Arabidopsis thaliana: one gene and its partners. The protein of the gene in region 4 binds, or shares a complex with, the protein of the main gene of each other region. Each region holds a gene or a part of one and is shown on either strand. Other genes may lie near its edges.

The links.
Region 1: AT4G01310 (region 4) and RPL9 share a complex: the UniProt entries of both Arabidopsis thaliana proteins name them as parts of the 50S ribosomal subunit.
Region 2: AT4G01310 (region 4) and RPL15 share a complex: the UniProt entries of both Arabidopsis thaliana proteins name them as parts of the 50S ribosomal subunit.
Region 3: AT4G01310 (region 4) and PSRP6 share a complex: the UniProt entries of both Arabidopsis thaliana proteins name them as parts of the 50S ribosomal subunit.

What each region holds. Positions count from the first base shown.
Region 1 is NC_003074.8:16,383,941-16,389,586, reverse strand, and holds RPL9 (ribosomal protein L9), read right to left. Parts: upstream 3,193-5,646; 5' UTR 3,083-3,192; coding exon 2,930-3,082; intron 2,596-2,929; coding exon 2,468-2,595; intron 2,312-2,467; coding exon 2,266-2,311; intron 2,125-2,265; coding exon 2,027-2,124; intron 1,944-2,026; coding exon 1,896-1,943; intron 1,745-1,895; coding exon 1,624-1,744; 3' UTR 1,588-1,623; intron 1,340-1,587; 3' UTR 864-1,339; downstream 1-863. Other genes in the region: CHX4 (cation/H+ exchanger 4), read right to left, coding at 1-509, 600-863; ACD1 (Pheophorbide a oxygenase family protein with Rieske 2Fe-2S domain-containing protein), read right to left, coding at 3,383-3,637, 3,731-4,015, 4,088-4,247, 4,331-4,467, 4,556-4,682, 4,777-5,012, 5,316-5,646. UniProt on the Arabidopsis thaliana protein: Binds to the 23S rRNA.
Region 2 is NC_003074.8:9,490,246-9,495,214, reverse strand, and holds RPL15 (ribosomal protein L15), read left to right. Parts: upstream 1-2,559; 5' UTR 2,560-2,656; coding exon 2,657-2,740; intron 2,741-2,811; coding exon 2,812-3,175; intron 3,176-3,467; coding exon 3,468-3,619; intron 3,620-3,713; coding exon 3,714-3,947; 3' UTR 3,948-4,160; downstream 4,161-4,969. Other genes in the region: AT3G25940 (TFIIB zinc-binding protein), read right to left, coding at 1-111; AT3G25930 (Adenine nucleotide alpha hydrolases-like superfamily protein), read left to right, coding at 1,344-1,542, 1,662-1,753, 1,918-2,030, 2,123-2,183; AT3G25910 (MAP kinase kinase kinase, putative (DUF1644)), read right to left, coding at 4,261-4,969.
Region 3 is NC_003076.8:5,904,924-5,909,362, forward strand, and holds PSRP6 (plastid-specific 50S ribosomal protein 6), read left to right. Parts: upstream 1-2,665; 5' UTR 2,666-2,824; coding exon 2,825-3,214; 3' UTR 3,215-3,541; downstream 3,542-4,439. Other genes in the region: CSA1 (disease resistance protein (TIR-NBS-LRR class)), read right to left, coding at 3,951-4,012, 4,149-4,439.
Region 4 is NC_003075.7:542,210-547,148, forward strand, and holds AT4G01310 (Ribosomal L5P family protein), read right to left. Parts: upstream 3,358-4,939; 5' UTR 3,272-3,357; coding exon 3,026-3,271; intron 2,738-3,025; coding exon 2,537-2,737; intron 2,452-2,536; coding exon 2,309-2,451; intron 2,156-2,308; coding exon 1,957-2,155; 3' UTR 1,702-1,956; downstream 1-1,701. Other genes in the region: AT4G01290 (chorismate synthase), read right to left, coding at 1-152, 492-694, 808-915, 1,003-1,073; ATSTE24 (Peptidase family M48 family protein), read left to right, coding at 3,696-3,726, 4,422-4,569, 4,653-4,737, 4,824-4,919. UniProt on the Arabidopsis thaliana protein: Binds 5S rRNA, forms part of the central protuberance of the 50S subunit.

The DNA of each region.
Region 1 (5,646 bases), on a different chromosome or scaffold from region 4:
ATAAAAACTGATCCAAGCCGAGATTTATCGTCCTTGAGTTCCTTTAGAAAGACTAGAACCGCAGAGAGGATCGAGGTGCTGAAGTCACTGATCACTGCAGAAGACATAGCGAGACGGCCAAGCTCTGAATTCTGGAGCCTAAGCTCAAAAAGAAGGTTTCCAATTACAGGAAACGACGAAAGGCATTGGATCAAATAGATGAAAATGATTTCAAAGAAACTCATAACCGGTTCTCCCTTTTTCGTCCCTACATCTCTTAGGATCAAGAAGAAGATCAAGGCGCAAACCGTTATAGAGAGTAACACTGAGGAAAGACCGATAGCTACAGCTTTTCTCCCGGTGCTGCGGATCAAACTCAAGTCCATTTTAACTCCCATCAAGAACCAAAACATCATGTAGGAACATGCACCCACTAAACCAAACAGAGTCTCTTTATAGTCTTCCGTCGAGAGGAATTTCCTAGCCGGTGTATTCTCCTTAAGAAACGACTTGCTCAAGAGAATCCCAGTCTGGCAAAACCACACAGAATATCAAACATAAGCAATGCAAACAAAGAGGAAGAGAGATTTGAAGATTCAAGAATTGAGTAAAGTTCTTACAAGCATATGGGAGGTGAAACGAATCATGCCGAGACGTCTGAGGAAGAAATGGAAGAATTGCCAGAGAATAGTGACGATAAGGAAAATGATCTGAACATGTGGAAACATGTAATTCCAGAACTCAATGTTTGCTTGAGGATCTGGGAGCTTCGGGGAGGGCCATAGCCCGCTCGAGCTCGGGTTAATAGGCAAGATACCGCAGATCATGTTTGCATCTCTCCATGTATCTCTCAGGTAAGGGATCCTATCACCATTAAACTCCATTGGACAAAACTTGTTAACAAGAACAAAGATGATAGAAACAAGAGAATCATATGATTATAAAAACCGAATCAAGAGCTATAACTGTCTTAAACAAAAAAGGTTTTGGTAACAGAATTGAAGAGAAGCAGTGAAACAAAAAAACATCTGGGTTTTGTCATTAAACAACAACTCTCTAAAAATAGTCAATCTTGTGGGAACAAGAGACGGCGACATAGTTTTTCAGATTTCTGGTTATTTGTTAGTTTTTTAAACAGCTTGTTAGTGTTAATTTAAGCATTCTCATCACTTCAACAGACAAATGAATACAATATAACTTCAAGTAAATATCATAACTTGCAAGAGAATATTATACTTTTAGCGTTTCCAGATTCCAAAAATAGCAAAAATACAAATGCATCAAACAATCTAAAGGAAAAACTTCACAACCTTCAATCCTCACCACAAGAGGCTACTCTCTTTTCCCTCTCTATACGTTCCTGCAAGTTCAAAACACCAAACACAGTGCGATGGACAATTAGCATCTGCGTTTGCGGCTAGACCTTAAAACGCAAAACTCCGTTCAACAGCCAATATTCCCGACCAATGTTTATATGCCGATGTTCAGAGTTCAGAACATCGGTTTAACTACTTATTTCATGCCAATTAAGACACGAACTAAGACAAAACTAATACTTAGTTTCATTTATGGTTAAAAGCCACATGATCATGGAAAATCAAGAAATACCTTGGGATGCAGTAGGAGTCTTGAATCGTTGAAGGTTTAGTTAGCGAAAACATTGATCTTAACTCGAGCAGTGACATCGGGGTGAAGCTTGAGTTCGGCTATGTATTCTCCGGTTTCACGGATTTCTGGGAGAGAGACAAGGCGTTTGTCGATGTCCCTGCAAAACACAGCCACAGAGAAGCAGATAAAACCATATTAGGTTCTTCGAACAACACTAAAAACCAAATGTAGACTGATCCAACTAAACCGCCCACATGAGAAAGCTTGTAGCTTTTTATGTGGAAATGTAAAATTTTCTATGTTGTTACTTTTGGAGCTGTGATTTGATGATGTCGACGAGGTCTTGAGCTGTGACACTGCAGGAAAATATAAAGTTAAGTACAGGCTAAACACTATTCTCAAGACTGTTAAAATCTAGATTTGCTTAAGTAGGACTTACGATCCAAATATCAGTTTGCCTTTACCGCCTTTGCGTTTAACCTTGAAAGCACCAACGGTTTGGAATACCATCGCCAGTTGTTGTGCCTCTTCTTTCACCTGCAAAAAAGGTTCCACGCAAAGAAAAAACCAACAAACAGATGAAAATCAATAACCAAAGAGTTTTTTGGTGATCACTCAAACACCAAAACTTTACATGATGATCAAATAAAAACAATCAATGTATTCATATCAGATTACCCTTTGCTTCTCTGCCTCAATCCGTTCGTCTTCCATCTTCAATTCCCTGGGGGAAAAACACACACACAAAAAGAAAGAAAATGATGTTTTTCTTGTTGATCTTACAACATTGTAGCAAAGTCCCTCGAAATACAAAGGCCTTAGAACCGAATAGTAAGAGCATACAAAAGCGAACGGAAATTTCGAAGTTGAGGTGAATTACTTGAGCAGAAGTGGAGTCATAAGCTGAGCCTTTCCAGTAGGCAAGAGGAAGTTTCTGAAAAATCCAGCTTTCACATCAAGTAATTGCCCTTGCTTACCCAAATCCGTCACATCCTCTTTCAAAATTACCTTAAAGACACAAAACAAGATTTACCATTAGTGTTTCACTTACTCCATTTCTCTACACAGAAACAAAGCTTCAAACCAATTTATCTTCACTACTTGAAACTAAACTGGTAATATAAAGGCGTCTACTTTTCTAATGTTGATTCATCTTTCTTCCTAACTACGCTGATACAAGAACAAAGACGATGTTTTTACACTAAACCCATAAATTAAGCATCTTCAAGTCTTTTACTTTCATCTCCACCAAAATTCTTCAGAAACACAAGCTCAAATCAAAAACTAACTAAAAGCCAAATCAAATTTTTGAAGGAAACCCATGAAAGGTAATGACTTTTACCTTGCGAAGTTTCTTAGCTTTCTTCTGGGAAACAACTTCAAAATTGAACCTTCGCTCAGATACTTTTAGGGTTTCATTTGCACCGCCATTGAAGCTGTGTGACCAACAAGGAGAGGAGCTCCATGAGAGAGACAAAGCTGTCGAAGAAGCCATAGCCAAAGCTGATTTCACTTCAAAGCAGAGATAACAAGAGCGCACAGTTGTAGTAATTGTTATCTTCTTATCGGCTTTTCGTGTGCTTGCTCAAGTGAAGTGACGAATGTTTTTCTTATGTTTCGAATTTGACCCCGTAATTATTCTACTTTTCTGTTTTCTTACTTAAAAGTTTTATAAAGTTCAATTGAGTACCCAAAATTTAACGGTTAAATCGGTTTTATAGTGCTAAAAGTTCCTCTGGATTTTGATTTACAATGTTTGTACTTTGTATGATGATTATACATATACACAACAAATCTACTCGATTTCAGAATGTACATAATCTCTAAACACAAAGTTCTTCTCTTGTTCATGTAAAGCATATGCAGAAGCAGCTGATATCAGTGATAAACCAGCAAGAACCAGTCGAATCTGAACATCAGAAGGAACACCAGCCGTGGCGGCCCAGAAAACCGTCGCGCCAACGAGAAACTTCTTGAGGATTTGGAAACTGTTGTAAGCTCCTTTGCAGGAAGAGCATACTTGTGTATGCTGATCAAATCTATCTAGCATCTGTTTGTTCAAATTTGTCACGTTTTCAGACATGTGTTTGTATATATATAGAGATCAATCAAATGATGTTAGGATGCATGATTGATGGCTCACCTGACGCTTGGTTAAGACAGTGGAAGGGAGAGGTTGGTTAGACGGGGTGGAGCCGAACCATTCAGGCTGACTCTTACCATGCCGTCTGAGCCAGTTTCTGAATGCTAGAACAAAACGGTCTGCCTGGGTTGGAGTGAATGTGAGCTTTGTGTACTGTTTGTTCACGTCGTAGTCTGGTGACTCCATTGATTTAGCGAGGAATACTTTCTCTTGTCCTTGAAGTACGATCATGTCTCCGTCATAGACTAAGTTCGAAGTCCAGTGTTCATACCATCTTGGTACAACCTAACAAGGAACAGCTTCAGAAGAATTTACGTAGTAAAATCGGATTAGAGATGGAATCAAAGTTTGTTTTACCTGCCACCAAGCTGGTCCTGGTACAGAGAACTGAAAGAAGTTACGGGCGCTGCAAACGATGGAACGGGTCTTTCCTGGAGCCATTGGTATATTGAATGAGCAAATCCAAATGACCCATTTTTGATTACCGACGATTGGTAGTTTCGCATCTAACTCAATTCTGTAGACAAGGATACACAATTTCATTCTATGCAACTGTATGCTAACCATTTATTATGTATAGTGAGCAAACTCAACACTCACTTGTTCATAGAATAGCACGGAGCAACAAATTTTGCGGTTATCCTTGGACTGTCATCATTCGCACCTTGGAAACCCCAAGGCCCACTTGACTCCACCTTGAACGGCAATGGTTTGGCTCTGTCTCTTCTTCCTGTAACCTGTTTACAACACGTAATCATCGCCTGAGGATAATATCCCTTAGTGGAAATGCAAACACATTGGGAGCTTTGAGAAAGAAAACAACACCTTGTGATGAGCAAAATCTATATGGGAAGGATCAGATACATTTTCCATGAGAGTATCATATCCATAGAAAAGATCCCTTTGAATTGTCACCGTCGAAAATTCCGGTTTATCGAAATCATCCGGCAACCTTTTATGTTAAAGATCAACGCATTTAATAAAACGAGTAATAAAACGAGTATGCTATGTTCATGGAAGCCTGAGAAGATAATCATTTTCGTTACCTAGGGGGTTCAATTGAATTGGCTCTATCCCAACCATTTTCATCAGGCCACACAAAGAGAAGACCTTGAGACACCATTGTCGGGAACTTAATAGCACAAGCTCTCGGGGATTTAACAGCACGAGCTTCAGGACCTGAAGTAGCAGCCTGAGGAATCCTAGTGCAAGATCCACACCCACCAAATGACCATCCATGATACGAACATTGCAAGTGTCCATTCTCATCCAACCTTCCTTCCTACATAACCACAATGCATCAACACATACACAAACACATCAATGAGTCAAGCTCAAAACTTTGGTTACATACACAACAAAGTTTACTTCTTTTTGCTCATAAGTCATAACAATAACAACAACACAAAACTGTTCTGATTCTGACCCTAATATTTTATTCTTTGAAGCTTTTAACCTAATTGATATACTTTAAAAATCAAAACTTTACAATAAACAATCATCTACAATAATTTATTCTTCTAATCCAAATCCAAATCACAGTTATAAACTACTTGAACTGTTTCTTCCAAGAGAGAGAGATTACAGATAAAGGAGCGAGCCGGTGAGGGCAGAGATCATCAAAGGCTGCCCATTTCTGATCATTCCGATCAAACCAGAGTACAAGGTCTCGACCCAAGAGCTGGAACGGGGTTGGCACATTCGGATCCAAATCCTCAACCAAAGAAACTGGATACCAATGATCTCTCCACTTAAACTCAGACCCTTCTTCTTCCTTATCTCCGCCGTATTCTTCTTCGATCCGCTTCTCCTCCGTCGAATCCGAAGTGGGTACAGACGGCGGCGCCGCCACGCGTAAAGGGTTGTGGAAAAGTTTCGATCTTGATGGAGAAATTGAGACCTTTAATGGGAATTTT
Region 2 (4,969 bases), on a different chromosome or scaffold from region 4:
ATTCCGTGTTGTTTTGCAATGTGGACATTCTGCATACTTGGTTGATTTCAAGACAAGCATAGTCCCACACAAATTACAGAACAAGAACTCGCTTTCTCTAGATTTCTCCATTACAGAACCTTTAACACAATGACACCAAAAAAGAAAAAAACATAACTCATCTCTACATGTCTCAATTGCTTGAAGAAATTTACAAGTAATGAGTAAAAAGATTAAGACGATCCTATGCTCAACAGATGAGTAAAGTAAGCATCTTTAAGCTAAATATCTCCATTAACATCATCTAAAATTTCAAGAGTAGTACTATGAGCATCAAAATCATACTCAGAATCGAAAGTTCGAGACTTTAAATTCCGTTAAAACCCAAAATTATAACTTTAACAAATTTTTACAGTTCTATATACTTCAAATGAGAACTAAAATGGAAAAGGAGAATCATCGAGTACCTTAGATTACAACAGATGCTTTCGCTATCACAGAGCGTCTCGGGAGAGAAGAAAAAAATCGCTAGGGTTTTTGGGATTCAGAGGTAGGAGATGCAGAGATTATAATGGGCTGGATATATGTCTGTTTGGCCCATTAACTTTTCATTTTAGCCCGTTTAGCTAATTATGTCTTTTCTTTTACCAACTCTCTCTAATGATATTTAATTATGATTAAAAATTCCGACAAAGAGAATAATGTTTTATGTCATCAATGGCGTGTATCCGGCAGTTACCAAACACCGGTCCACTCACACCATTTTATTAATGGAATATTTCAATGGAGAATTGGTAATATGTTGTAGAATGAGATCATATTATTCGATTGTTTTCTTTTTTGATATACAAATGTTTTTTTGTTAGACTTAGCATTGTCTCTATCCTAATTTGAATAAGCATATGACTAGTCTTTTGAAAATTTCAGTAAAACGTTTTCCGCAAACTCATCACAAGTTAAGCAGAATCTGAACCGAAATCTAAATGATCAAGTGATATAACATGGAGATTAAATCACTATAAATCGTTATGTAATTTCTTTAAATGATTGCATATTGTGGGATTGAACTTGAAGTTATAGCGATTTTACGCTTTTGGTTCTAATCCAAACCTACTTTGCCACTACACACGGGTTTAATATAGTATTACTTGTGTGTATAATTTTATTTTATTTTGCAAACGAGAAGAAGCCAGAATCAAGTCGTTAACCCATGCCTTTCAATTACCCAATCACCTAAGATTTTTTTTTATATTACTTCCTTTGACAAGTTAATCCACTTCCAAATATACTATAAAGTTGCACATTGACAAGAGGTTTTAGCAGAAGCTAGAAGAAGAAAGGAGAAGAAGAAACAAAGAGAGAAGATGAAGAATGTTATGCTGATTATTGACGAGAGCAACGCAAGTTATGATTTACTCATTTGGGCACTTGAAAACCAAAAAGATACCATTGAGAGCTCCAAAGTTTATATCTTTGCAAAACAGCCACAAAATTCCTTTACTCCTCCTACCGTACTTTCTTCATCAGTCGGCTTTGCTCAAATTTTCTATCCATTTTCACCTAGTAAGTCATTTTATCGACTAATTTGTTGGGAGTTTTCAATAAATATCAAATTTTCTATCCATTTTCACCTAGTACTTTCTTTTGTTGAAAATTGATCAGTTTTTATGTGTGTTTTGCAGATTCAGAACTCATAAGATTGGCTCAAGAAAAGAATATGAAAATTGCTTTGGGTATATTAGAGAAAGCCAAGAAGATATGTTTAAATCATGGGGTAATAATCTATTGACTGAATCATTTAACTTGTTATTAATACAATATCATATATATATTTTTAAATACCAAAGTTTTAAAAGAAAAAAATGAAGTTCTTTTCATGACAACCATTTGTTGCAATATTTTAGTCTCATGATCTCATCATAATCATGTTGAAAACAGATCAAGGCAGAGACATTTACTGATGATGGAGACCCTAAAGATCTAATCCGCAAGATAATTCAAGAACGAAATATCAATTTAATAGTTACGAGCGATCAACAAAGTCTCAAAAAGTAAGAAACATCTTTTAATTTCAAAATATCAGTTAAAAAACTTAGTATTGATGGAAAAGTTGAGATAACAAACATCTTTTAATTAAATGCAGGTGTACACAAAATACAGATTGTTCTCTTCTTGTCGTGAAGAAAAGACTTCGCAAAGATTAAAGATTAAGGAAGTTACAAAATTCACCAATATATATAATTTTCTATGTGGTTAATTGAGATTGTGTAATGATTTGGGGTTGTAGTTTCAGGTGTTGATTTGGGGTTGTAGTTTGAACTTATAATTGTGTTATGTGTATAAATATTTGTGTTTATATATATCAAGTTAGTATAAATACTATAATTTCTTATCGTTTCTTTTATTGGCACTGGTGTCTTGATCATCCCGACTAATTCAGACATGAGCTTATCTGAAAACCCACTTTGGACACAAACGAATTGATACGAACGAGTAACGACTCTTTTATTGAAAACGAAAAGGCCTAAATTTGCTGTGAAAGGCCCAATAAACAATTAAGTGATTATGTAAGACGATGTCGTTTAACTCTTAAGTTTCTCAAGAAAGTTATCTCTCTCTATCTATCTTCCTCAACCTTATCCTTGAAGCTTTGTTTCATCTGTTGTTCCCTGTGACCATGGCTACTCCACTCTCAATCTCATCAAATCCTCTCACCTCCCGCCATTGTTACCGTCTCCACTTATCTTCTACTTCATTCAAGGTAATCTCTCATTCTTCTACAAATGTCAATTTTGAATGAATCCGTAAAATTGGAATTTGAAATGTGTACAGGGAAATGTAAGTGTTTTGGGGGCAAACCCAAGTCAGATTCTATCTCTGAAACTCAACCAAACCCTTAAAACGAGAAACCAACAGCAATTTGCGAGACCCCTTGTTGTGGTTAGCCAAACGGCGGCTACGTCGTCGGCAGTTGTAGCTCCGGAGAGATTCCGTTTGGATAATCTTGGACCACAGCCAGGTTCGAGGAAGAAGCAGAAGAGAAAAGGTAGAGGTATCTCTGCAGGACAAGGAGCAAGTTGTGGTTTTGGTATGAGAGGTCAGAAATCAAGATCGGGTCCTGGGATTATGAGAGGCTTTGAAGGTGGTCAAACTGCTCTTTATCGTCGTCTTCCCAAACTTAGAGGAATCGCTGGAGGTAAAGTTTTGTTTTTGTTTGGTATCCAAGTTTTGTGTAGCCCAAATGTTCGATGAAATGTCTCATCCAAAAGGCTCTGTTTAAATTTGGTGATGCTGCTTTCAGTTTTATTTAGTTAGGGCACATTTGTTTCATAGATTTAATATTGGGTAAGAGAGCCATGAATTGACAACTATGGATCAAGATTGTAGTTAGTGAATAGAGATATTTCATGGTTCGATTTTGCTAATTAGCTCAAACCAATAGAGATATATTTCTGATGCATCGTTGCGTTACTGTGTTCTTTAAACAGGTATGCGTTCAGGATTACCTAAATACTTACCGGTTAATATCAAAGACATAGAAACAGCTGGGTTTCAAGAGGGAGATGAAGTGTCATTGGAGACATTGAAGCAAAAGGGTTTGATTAATCCTTCAGGGAGAGAAAGGAAACTCCCTCTTAAGGTTAGTTTTCCAAACTTGTTGATCCTACTTCTTTCGATTGTGCTTTCGTCTTTTCTTTCTTTATTTAAACGTTTTGATTGGTCTTGGATTTCAGATTCTGGGTACAGGAGAACTAAGCATGAAGCTCACCTTCAAAGCTCGTGCCTTCTCAACACAAGCAAAAGAGAAGCTTGAAGCTTCAGGTTGTACACTCACTGTGTTGCCGGGAAGAAAGAAATGGGTTAAGCCATCTGTTGCAAAGAACCAAGCACGAGCAGATGAATACTTTGCCAAGAAGAGAGCTGCAGCAGCAGAAGCAGCAACTTCAGAGCCAGCAGCCTCTGCTTAAATTACTTCAGTTTCAAGCTCTTTTTAGTGTTGTAAAGCTGCAGAGAAGATAATTGTCTATGACAAATGTTAATTACAATTCCTTTGTCTTTTTGTATGGTGAAGAGATTTACATTTTGTTGTTTGAAGAGTCATTATCAAAAAGATATTTAAACGGTAATGAAATATTGAACATTTTGTTTCCCAATAGTAGAAACTTTTTTCAATCTCCAAAGAAATTTTACATAATAGGGTTTCATAAGTGGGGTTATTACTACAAGGTTTCCCCCATTTTATCATAAACTCCAAAGACCAAATTTCCAAACTGCAGAGCATCACGGTTCTTCTTCTTCATCATCATCATCAATGACAGTTCTTCTTCTAGAACGACGTCTCCGAGTTCCAGACACTTGTTCATCAGAAGATTGATTATTCTCCTCATCTCTAGGTGATGTTCCTGTATTACCTTCATAGCTCTCTCCCCAAAGACTTGCAGGTCTTGAAGATCTTCTTCTCCCACTTGTATGTGTCCTAGCTCTAGATGTACCAGACCAGCTACTACTCCTTGAGCCACTCGATTCTGGTCTAAACACGCGGATGAGAAAGTACACTGTAAGCAAGCGAGTATCAGCAAATAGAAACCCATCATCGTTACTTATTTCATCTCCTCCAAAAGAAGATTGGAGTGTGCTAAGTAAATCCCCTAAATCGCTCTGCCTTTCTAGCCTCCTCCAGCTTCTCTGTCTCTCTGGATCTGCTTCTGATGGCCTAACTCCTGGATGTAGAAGCCTTGCGTGCTTTCTCAGATCGGAATAGCTTCCACTGAAATCACAAGTCTCACAAGAACAGCTTCTATGTTTTGAGTTCATGAAACATCGAGCTGCTTTAACAACTACCCATTCTTTTATATGTCCACGACATAACGGACAAGTAAGCTTTTGTGGTTTGTTTTTTTCTTGATCTTCTTCTGTTGTTACAATTCCTTCTTCTTCTTCTTCTACTACTACTTCTTCTTCTTCTTCTTCTACTTCTTCTTCTCCTCTC
Region 3 (4,439 bases), on a different chromosome or scaffold from region 4:
AATTAATCACCAACTTAGGTCATTCATTGCTTTCCCGAAAAAACAATACTACTTAATAATTTTTTACGGCCATCAAAATCTGGACATTGCCTAATGTTTTAGGCCTAAAAAGAAATTGATTATTTATATATTATGTATGGTTATATATCAGTTATCAAATATGGACATGTGATTGATAAAATTAATAAAACTAGGATTCGAAAAAATTGAAAATGGAGAAAACTCCAAACCTGAAGGTCGATTGATGTGATTAAGAAGTATTTTGGCTGAGTAGACCACTTTGCAACGCAATCTCAACCGATCACGACTTTTCAAACATAGTCGTCATATCCACATTCTTATGATTTGCTTGTAATTTTTATATTGCATCGTTAAAGAATACACATGAGAATTTAATAAATGATGCAAACAAAAATTAAAGATCATTAATTTGATAAAATTTTGGACCGCCATCTTTTATTTTTTAGTGAAAAAACCGCCGGCTACTTTGTATTCATCATGATTTGAGATAGTTGAAAATACGTTATAAGTCTTTATTCCAATATTCATGACAAGTAGTTATTCCTTTTGTATTCTTAGGAGTTATGTCATTTACTCTATATTGACACAACGTTACTTTGTAGTCAGATAAATATTTATGCAACGTAACCGATATTTCTATTGAAAACTGTTAACATTTTTTAACATGAAATTATTATACATTTCTATTAAATAATAATCGATCGTTTTTCATAAAGGAAAAGCTTGTTTTACGTATCTTTTAAAATTTTCTAGATAATATATAAATATTTCCGACCAAGATCAATTTCCTTTAATTAAGGTCCGAAATAAAAATATTGATAAACAAAAAAAGTATCCAAAAGATTCCTGGTATATTCATTTAGCTGGCATGGCTAGTGCAGTACAAAATACAAACTCTAATTCCAAGAAAACAAAATAACGCAATAATGCAAAGTGCAAACGGACGAGAGCAATCGATTCATATATGGTTCTCTTCTCGATGTAATGCAATCACATGACTAAAACTGGCTCAAATTAGGCCTTTATACAAGACACTTACCTGTAAATAGACTAATATTTGTTTATATAAAACCATCAAATAATATTGTAAACAAATATATATATATATATGTATGTATGTGTTATATATATGTATGTATGTGTTATATCGTGTATAACTATTTAATTTGTTTAATTCACTTGTTCGATTGTATCTTCTTCTTAAACTTAAATCATCTTTTGGTTATATGTGTGTGTCTAATAACTATGTAATCTTTCTTTCAATTCTAATAAAATAAAACAAGATGTTAAAAAAAAAAAAACTATTTAACTATCCATGGTTGATGACTCGTACTTAAGACAAATAATCAAATTTCGTGATTCTAAAAATGAATGAAATTGATTGATATATAAGTGGGATTAGAAAAAAAAGAGTCAGATAAGTGTTATCTCGCGGTTATAATTTCAACGGTGCTAAGATAAGGATAAGGTTTGCGAAACTATATACTAATGCAACAATGGGTACCGTAGGTTTGTGATACCTAATTTGATCTAACCAACAGAATCTCTTCGTACTAGTGTAATCGAGTGGCTGAGCTGTTGATATAGAGATACGTAGTACTATTATTGTAAATAAAGAACCCAAAGAATCAAATTTGTCGACAACAAAATAAGGGGTGATAATCCGATGCACGTGGATTTGGTGAATGTATTGGATAATGCTAGTCACGTAGAAGAAAGTAATCTTATTTTGGGCCATAATTTTAGTAAATGTTTTTGAGTCTACGTAAAGAAGAGTAATTTTCATGGCAATCGCAATTTTCGCTGACAATTGATTATTTTGATATAATGTGAAATTGGTTAGGTTGGTGATAGTAGCTAGTTTGAAGCCTAACTTAGGCTTGTTATTGAGGTATAATACATTATTAACCATAAGTATTAGACAGGTTTTGGACAAATATATTTATTGGTCGCTTTGGCAGCATTGAAAAACCCTAAAAGCCACTAGAATGGATGTCTTCGAATGTCAGTTCACATAAATGTTCGCTAGCTTAATTTTATTTTCTTTTTTAAAAGAGAGGAAGCAATGATAACATAAACATTTTTATAGTGTTTTTTTTGAAACAAAAAGTTAGTTTTCTTCCTCAAATTCGATAACTAAATTACACCATAAATGAGAATATGTTTTTAGTTAAGTAGTTAAATCCATTTGATTCTACCTTTTTTACCAGAGTTTGACTCTACTAAGTCGTGTTACTTCGCATAATAAGGATTGACTATGAATCGTGTCTTGTTTATAAAAAAAAGAAAAAAAAAATTACACAACAAAGTTAAGAAAATTCAAATTTATTAATTTAATAAGCATACTTTGAATATAAATAAATCCTAAAACTCAAACTAATAAAAAAAGTATTTTTTTGTGTAGTATTAAAAGATGCAGAATCCGAAATAATGTATTTTATTGTAGAAGTGATTCAAAAGACCTTATCTCGTAGTCACTTGTAGCATTATTGGTTTAAGGTTAAAGAAAACATTTAAAACTCTGTATACATCATACATGACATCTTTACAAATTGCAAAATATACATTTTTAATCAGCTACTCTATTCTTAAATTCCTTTAATTAACGAGGTTATACAGTTCGATACGTTTAAGCAACAAAAAGTTCGATGCCACTAATAATTTAATTTTTGTTCTCTTCTTATCTTATAGATTGTTGCAGCCTGCAGGCTTGCAGCATAACGAGTTACATAACTATATACAAAGGCCCAATAGACACCTCAAAGGCCCAATAAAAAAGCCCAGGAAAAACGAAAACGAAGATATGAAGTTCTTCTCTAATCCGAAGCAAGAGGCTCAAACTCACTTTCACTTGCACAAAGATAAGGAAACCATGTCTGTGTCAGCGATCTTTGGTACCGGAATCGTCACCGTTGCTGCTTCTCCGGTTCTCCGCCAATTTCAAGTTCCAAAATTGGGTAATGGAGGAGGATTAGGGATGGTGATAGAGTGTTCGTCGAGGCCACAGAAGAAATCGACGGCTCATCACAGGAAGACGAGGCCGAAGAAGACTCAGCCTTGGGACATTAAGAGAAAGCCTACTGTTTACGCTCCTCTTCCTCCTCTTCCGGCGGAATGGAGTCCGTTCACTCTCGCTTCTGACGACGGTGGTGCTGCCACTGCTGCGGGAGATTTGGTTTCAGGCGCTGCCTAGTTGGTATGAGTTATCTGCTGATTTGGTTGTAATCTAGTTTGAGAACTTTTGTTGTTGTTTACTGTGTTTTCAGTTTTCTGATGTTTGTTGTTGGGTTTGTTTGTGTTTGATTGGTGAATGAATGGACCAAATTTGCGATTTATAAAGCTTCAACCTTTCTCCTCTGTTTTTGAGTTTAAAGGTCTCAACTTTATAGTTTATAGCTCTCGTCATTGTCATCTATGTTGCTTCTCTATAATTGCTTTTTTCCTTTTGGGTCTCATTAATTTCTGCAAGTAGTAATTGAATTGGGATGACAAGAGTTTAAGTTTGATATGTGAAAATGAAAGCACAATGGTATCTGTTTTGTGGCGGTTGATGCTGGAGTTGTTGTCAAATGCTCTGTTTGCTGCCATAGCAATGGGAATGTAGCTTCTAAAGAGTACGGTATAGTATACCGCATTATTGGAATTTTAAAATTTCCCTTTAGATTGGATTCAGGTGAAACGGCAATGTGCTCTGCTCACCATAGTGCAACACTTGGTCTAAACACTCTATTGTAGATTTTTAAGCCAAGTGATCTAAAGTGTGTTTGATGAAGAGTTTCAGCAAAAACATTTTTAGAAATGTTTATATCAGTTATGGGTTGATCACTCTGATTCTTGAATCTATCTTGTATCGGTCTAGTCCCAGGAGAAATTTAGAAGATCGATTTATCTTGCATTGCATGTTTATGGAGTCAATTCCAAGATCAACATCAATGGCTATACATTTCATAAAGCACGCATACAGAGTACATCCCGTTGAACCCATTAAACCCTGACACCTTAAAAGCTTAAGTCAAATCATCTGGAGAAATACACAATGAAGATACAAATACAGAGAGTTCGAAAGAATAAATAGTGTGAAAACAGAGGCAATCTATGAGTTTAACACAAAAGAGTGGAACCAAAACCAGTTTTTTGGGAAGAATGAGCTTCACTTGGGATGTTAGTGCTAGAGTTTTCAATGTAAGTCTGCCACTGGCCCTTTGGAGATTCATTACCTTTTGCTTGATCCTTGAAACAACCATTAGCACTTGGAGTTTTGTTGATTTTTACTTTACCTTTTACATCATCATTCCTTGGGGATGGAACTCTGTTCTCTTCAGGTTCAAACACAAAACTGAAACCGGATTTCAAAACTTCAAGCGTAGCTTCCCCACCAGTACCAGTTCTCACACTAAACTCAAGGGATGCTTTGGTCG
Region 4 (4,939 bases):
CTGATGTGAGTCATTAGATTGAGGTCTAGGGGCAGATGTTCCCGCACCAAATCCAGAAGGCTTAGGGAAAGAACCTTTCCCAAGAAGTCCATCATGCTCAGGTGCTTGCCAAGACCTCCGAGATGGCATACCAGAACGCCTTCCAGGCTCTCCTAACAAAATACACAGTTCCAAATCAACTATAATACACCCAAATTCCAGAATTTTTCGAAAAGACCTTCTTTTCATGTTCACTAGACAAGCAGACTTCATGCCATTCACTTTAGTTAAAAAAAGGTGGAAATCTACATTTACGCATATTGAACAGCCAGATGGATAGAGTTGAAATCATAATAATGAACACTTTTTTGCAGAAAGACATAATTCGTAGGAGTATTTTATAGGTCATATATAACAACAAGGTAACTATTCAGAATACTAGTCCACCTTGTTACTGTAGTAACGTCATCATACAGCATGTAAAGAATAGGATACGAGTAAGCTCCGGCTACCTGAGTCCCGGTCTGACTGTGAATCACTATCTTTATCATTCCATCCACCAGAGCGCCCTTCCCATCTTCCATGGGTGCCTCGAGAGTTAGTACCTAATTCCCCCCTGGTGGGAGGCGATGAACTATAGTCATTCCGCCTGAAACCATGCGACGAAAAATCGCCTGAAATTCTTGCTCGCTCGGGTGAAGGATCTTCGAAGTCACTACTCAAATAAAGAGTGTACAAATCAAGACATGTCACTCCAACATGATCAAACACATTTACACAGTTTCTAGAAATCCAAACTAAAAAAAAAACTATCGGATAGAGTCTCACAGCAACAGTGCTTCATCAAATTCACCAGGCAGATTTGGCAGCTTCTTGCAAACGTCTTTCTCGCTCAAGGATATAAGAAACTTCCTCGTGTATGTAATTCTTGGTTTCCTGAAAACAATTGCAACTGCAGCTGAGAAATGTACAATAAGCAGCAAAACAGAGACATGGATTTTACAAAAAACAGAAAAAACATACTTTTCCGAATCATCATTGGTTTCGACAAGTTGATCCATGGCAAATTGTTGTTCATTTGCTATACTCATCATACAATGCACAAAAATCTTAGCTGATTGAGGCCAAAAAACACCAGTATCTCTTCTTAACGCCTTAATCAAGTAACTCTACAGTAGTTGTCTATAGTAAATACCGTGAAATATGATTCTTCGATATTACAGTAACCACCAATAATATCTCAACTAGCAAAACTTAAACCACGATTCACCACCACGCAACTTCATCAGGATCTAGCTATATGTACAGTGAAAGATTTCAGAGAAGAGAAATTACAGCTCAAAGCCAAAGAAAACTAGCTCATCCTAAACTCACAAGGCTTTAATCTCTCGTATCGGATTCTCTCACCCAACCAAAATAAATAAAAACCTCAAATCGGGAAAAGATGAAAACAGATTATAACATTTCTGCAGTAATCTAAGGTCTTCGACAGCTAGGGTTTTTAGCGCTAATGGGGAATTACATGGATTCCAGAATCCATCAGAAAAGGATAATTAGAAAGAAAAAAAAGTAAGAGTCGCCGATTCTAGAAGAACAAAAGGAGAACGGAGAAACCAATTAGGGTTTCGATCTGCAGAAAGATAATTTTGCTGTTGCTGTTTGTTTTGATCGATTGATGATGAAAAAGAGAAGATCGAAACCAAGTCTTACAAAGAAGAGCGATTTCTCTCAAAGGGGAAGGTAAAATTGACAAATCCACGCGCTAGCTTTTCACGTTCACTCACGCGCTACATTTTGTATAATCCACAAAACTTTCAATAAATTACAGAAAAACCTTGATAAATTTTTACCATAACAACAAGATCCCTGATATTATTTTCAAATTGACTCATAAAGCATTACAAAAGGAGATGGTTTTTCTGAAACATGAAATGGTTGGTTACAGAAGACGATACATACAATAGGCAGCTATGTTCATCATCTCTTTCCTTTTCCTTTAGCATCAAAGTGATGAGACTTTAGTTTCTTCTTCCGCACTATCGCGCCTGTGCTGCCACCACCTCCTTCCCTGAAAGGCATTCCCATTAGAGCCAATAGTTTCTGTCCTTCTTGATCGCTTTTAGCCGTTGTGCTGATGCATACATCCATTCCTCTCGTTTTTCCAACGGCATCAAACCTAGAGTGTAATAAACCAACCAACCAACATAGAGTTTAGTTGCTCGGTTGTAAACAAAGAGTGGGACTAAAGAGAAACCATGCTTGATCTTGTTGAACCAGCGGATAACAAGTTAGTAGTTTTGATTTTGAGGGTAGATACAATAGAACTAACCTGATTTCAGGGAATACACCTTGGTCTTTCACACCAATACTGTAGTTTCCGTTCCCATCAAAGCTACTGGGACTCACACCTTGGAAATCTCGAGTTCTCGGAAGGGCTAAGTTGATAAGACGATCCAAGAAGGAGTACATTACCTGTCACAACAGTCAAAATCACAAAATGTTAATACATAAATAACTCAAAAGGAAAGTTTGATTAGTCAAGAGAAATATAGCTCACATCTCCTCTGAGAGTGACAGCAATCCCAAGAGGTTGATCTTCCCTGATCTTGAAAGTAGCAATGGAAGCTCTAGCTCGTGTCTTAATAGGTTTCTGCCCTGTGATAAGCGCGATATCCTTCATCGCAGCCTCCAAACCCTTGTCGTTCTGCGCCGCATCTCCAATACCACAATTCACTACAATCTTCTGTACCTTTGGAACCTGGTAGAGAAGATGTCCAAGCAGATATACAACAATGATGAGATTGACAAATTCACATTCACATTTGTAAATGGCACATCCCAACAGCACGATTTTATCAACACAACAATCTTAAATCTAGGCTTCTTCACTACATTTTCTAGAAGAAATCAATTCAAACTTATCATTAAAAGCAAATTAGGTTTAACATTCGCTCAAAAAATTCGAATTCACTGAGAATTAGACTTCAATCAATCGCAACAGAACAAAAACTAGGTTTGAGCTCAGAGGGGAAGGATTTGGGGTTACCTGGTGAATATTAACGTACTTGAACTCTTCTTTGAGCGCAGGGATAATCCTCTCGAGGTAAGCGGTTTTGAGGCGTTGAGTTTTCTCGGCTTCAGATTTCTCGACCAGTACAGTTCCAGACGCCGAGACTTTCACCACGTTTCTGAGCGGCGGAGAGAGCATTCGTGCGGAGGATGGAGCCGCTAATGGTGAGAAACGTCCGTGAAACGAAGAAGCGGAAGACTGCAGAAGCGAAGGAGACGCCATTGTCGAAGCTCCAAGTGGATAAAGTGTGAAGTGAGAGCTCTCGGCGTTCGTTGTTGATTAAACCCAATGGCACCTTCGTAATTTGTTGACAGTTTGAGGATAAGGAGTTTTCCGTTTAGCCCCTTTAAAACATAATATTTCAACTAAGGCCCCAATATTTGATAATATACTATTATACTTAGAGATTTTAGATAAAATATAGGGGTTGTTTCATATGGGCCTAAATCTCAGCCCGTTTACTATTTGGGCTTCTAAGGTATAACCCGTACCCGTGTTTTTGTTGTTTTACATATCCACACCGACCTGAGAAGAGTCAAAAACGAAAAACCTCTCTTTTGTCGTTCCTCTGCTTTCTTCGATTTGCTTCTGCTTTCTTCGATTTGCTTCTGCTTTCATCGCGGTTCAGGTCACTCTTTTCTCAGCCATGGCGATTCCTTTCATGGAAACCGTCGTGGGTAAGCTTCAAAACCTTTTTCTGAGACATTTTACTATCCTGTTTCACTCATCGTATTTCGTTTTTGTTTGGGTTTTGCTTTCTGTGTTGTGTGTGTTGAGATTCCATGACTCGTTTGTTTCATATACCATCGTCTCTGCTTCTCGTTTCTAAATTTTGTTCTTTTCTAATAGTGCGTACCTTGATCTGAGGTTTTATTACTCCTACTAGTTTCTTGTCTTACTCGTGCGTTTGATTTGATTTGAGCTTATGTGATTTCATCATCTCTTCCTCGGTTTTAGAATGTACGGAGCTTCTCTGTTAACCAAAATCTAGGATTTGGGAAGAAAAGTCGGAGTCTTTTTTTTCCTCATTCCCGATTGGAAATTGAGAATCTTGAAATTTTTCTTTGTTCAAGTCATACAGCTTGAGGTTTTGGGTTTTCTTGTCAGGGTATTATTATGTTCGTGACTGCAACTAGAGTTTTCTGGAGTTTTTTGAAATGGGTTTTGTGTTGTGGAACCGTATGTGAATGTTGCATCAAAACTCTTTCAGTGCTCCAATGTTTCCATCAGTAGTCAGCACAAGAGATCTTTTTATATCTGGTTGATCAAAAAAGTAGATGATGTTATTGAATTTTCAGTGATGGAGTATCTGTTGTTGTGGCATTTAGAGTAGATTCGTATTTCATCTTCTGTTTTATTCTTTTTCTTACAGGTTTTATGATAGTGATGTACATTTTTGAGACGTATTTGGATCTGAGGCAACTCACTGCTCTCAAGCTTCCAACTCTCCCGAAAACCTTGGTTGGTGTAATTAGCCAAGAGAAGTTTGAGAAATCACGAGCATACAGTCTTGACAAAAGGTTTCGTCTTGATCATATTTATATCATTTTAGTTTTTTATAATTGCCAGGGGATATCATCACTGAGAACTTTAATATATGCAGCTATTTTCACTTTGTTCATGAGTTTGTAACTATACTTATGGACTCTGCAATTTTGTTCTTTGGGATCTTGCCTTGGTTTTGGAAGGTACATATCTGGTTTCGGTATACAGTATCTCATTTTGAATATAGAGTTGTTACATTACAATTGTAAAGTTTTCATTTTTACCTTAGATGTCTGGAGCTGTTTTACCGAGGTTGGGCCTTGATCCAGAGAATGAAATACTGCATACTCTTTCATTCTTGGCTGGTGTTATGACATGGTCACAGGTGTTCCAAATAAACCCCTT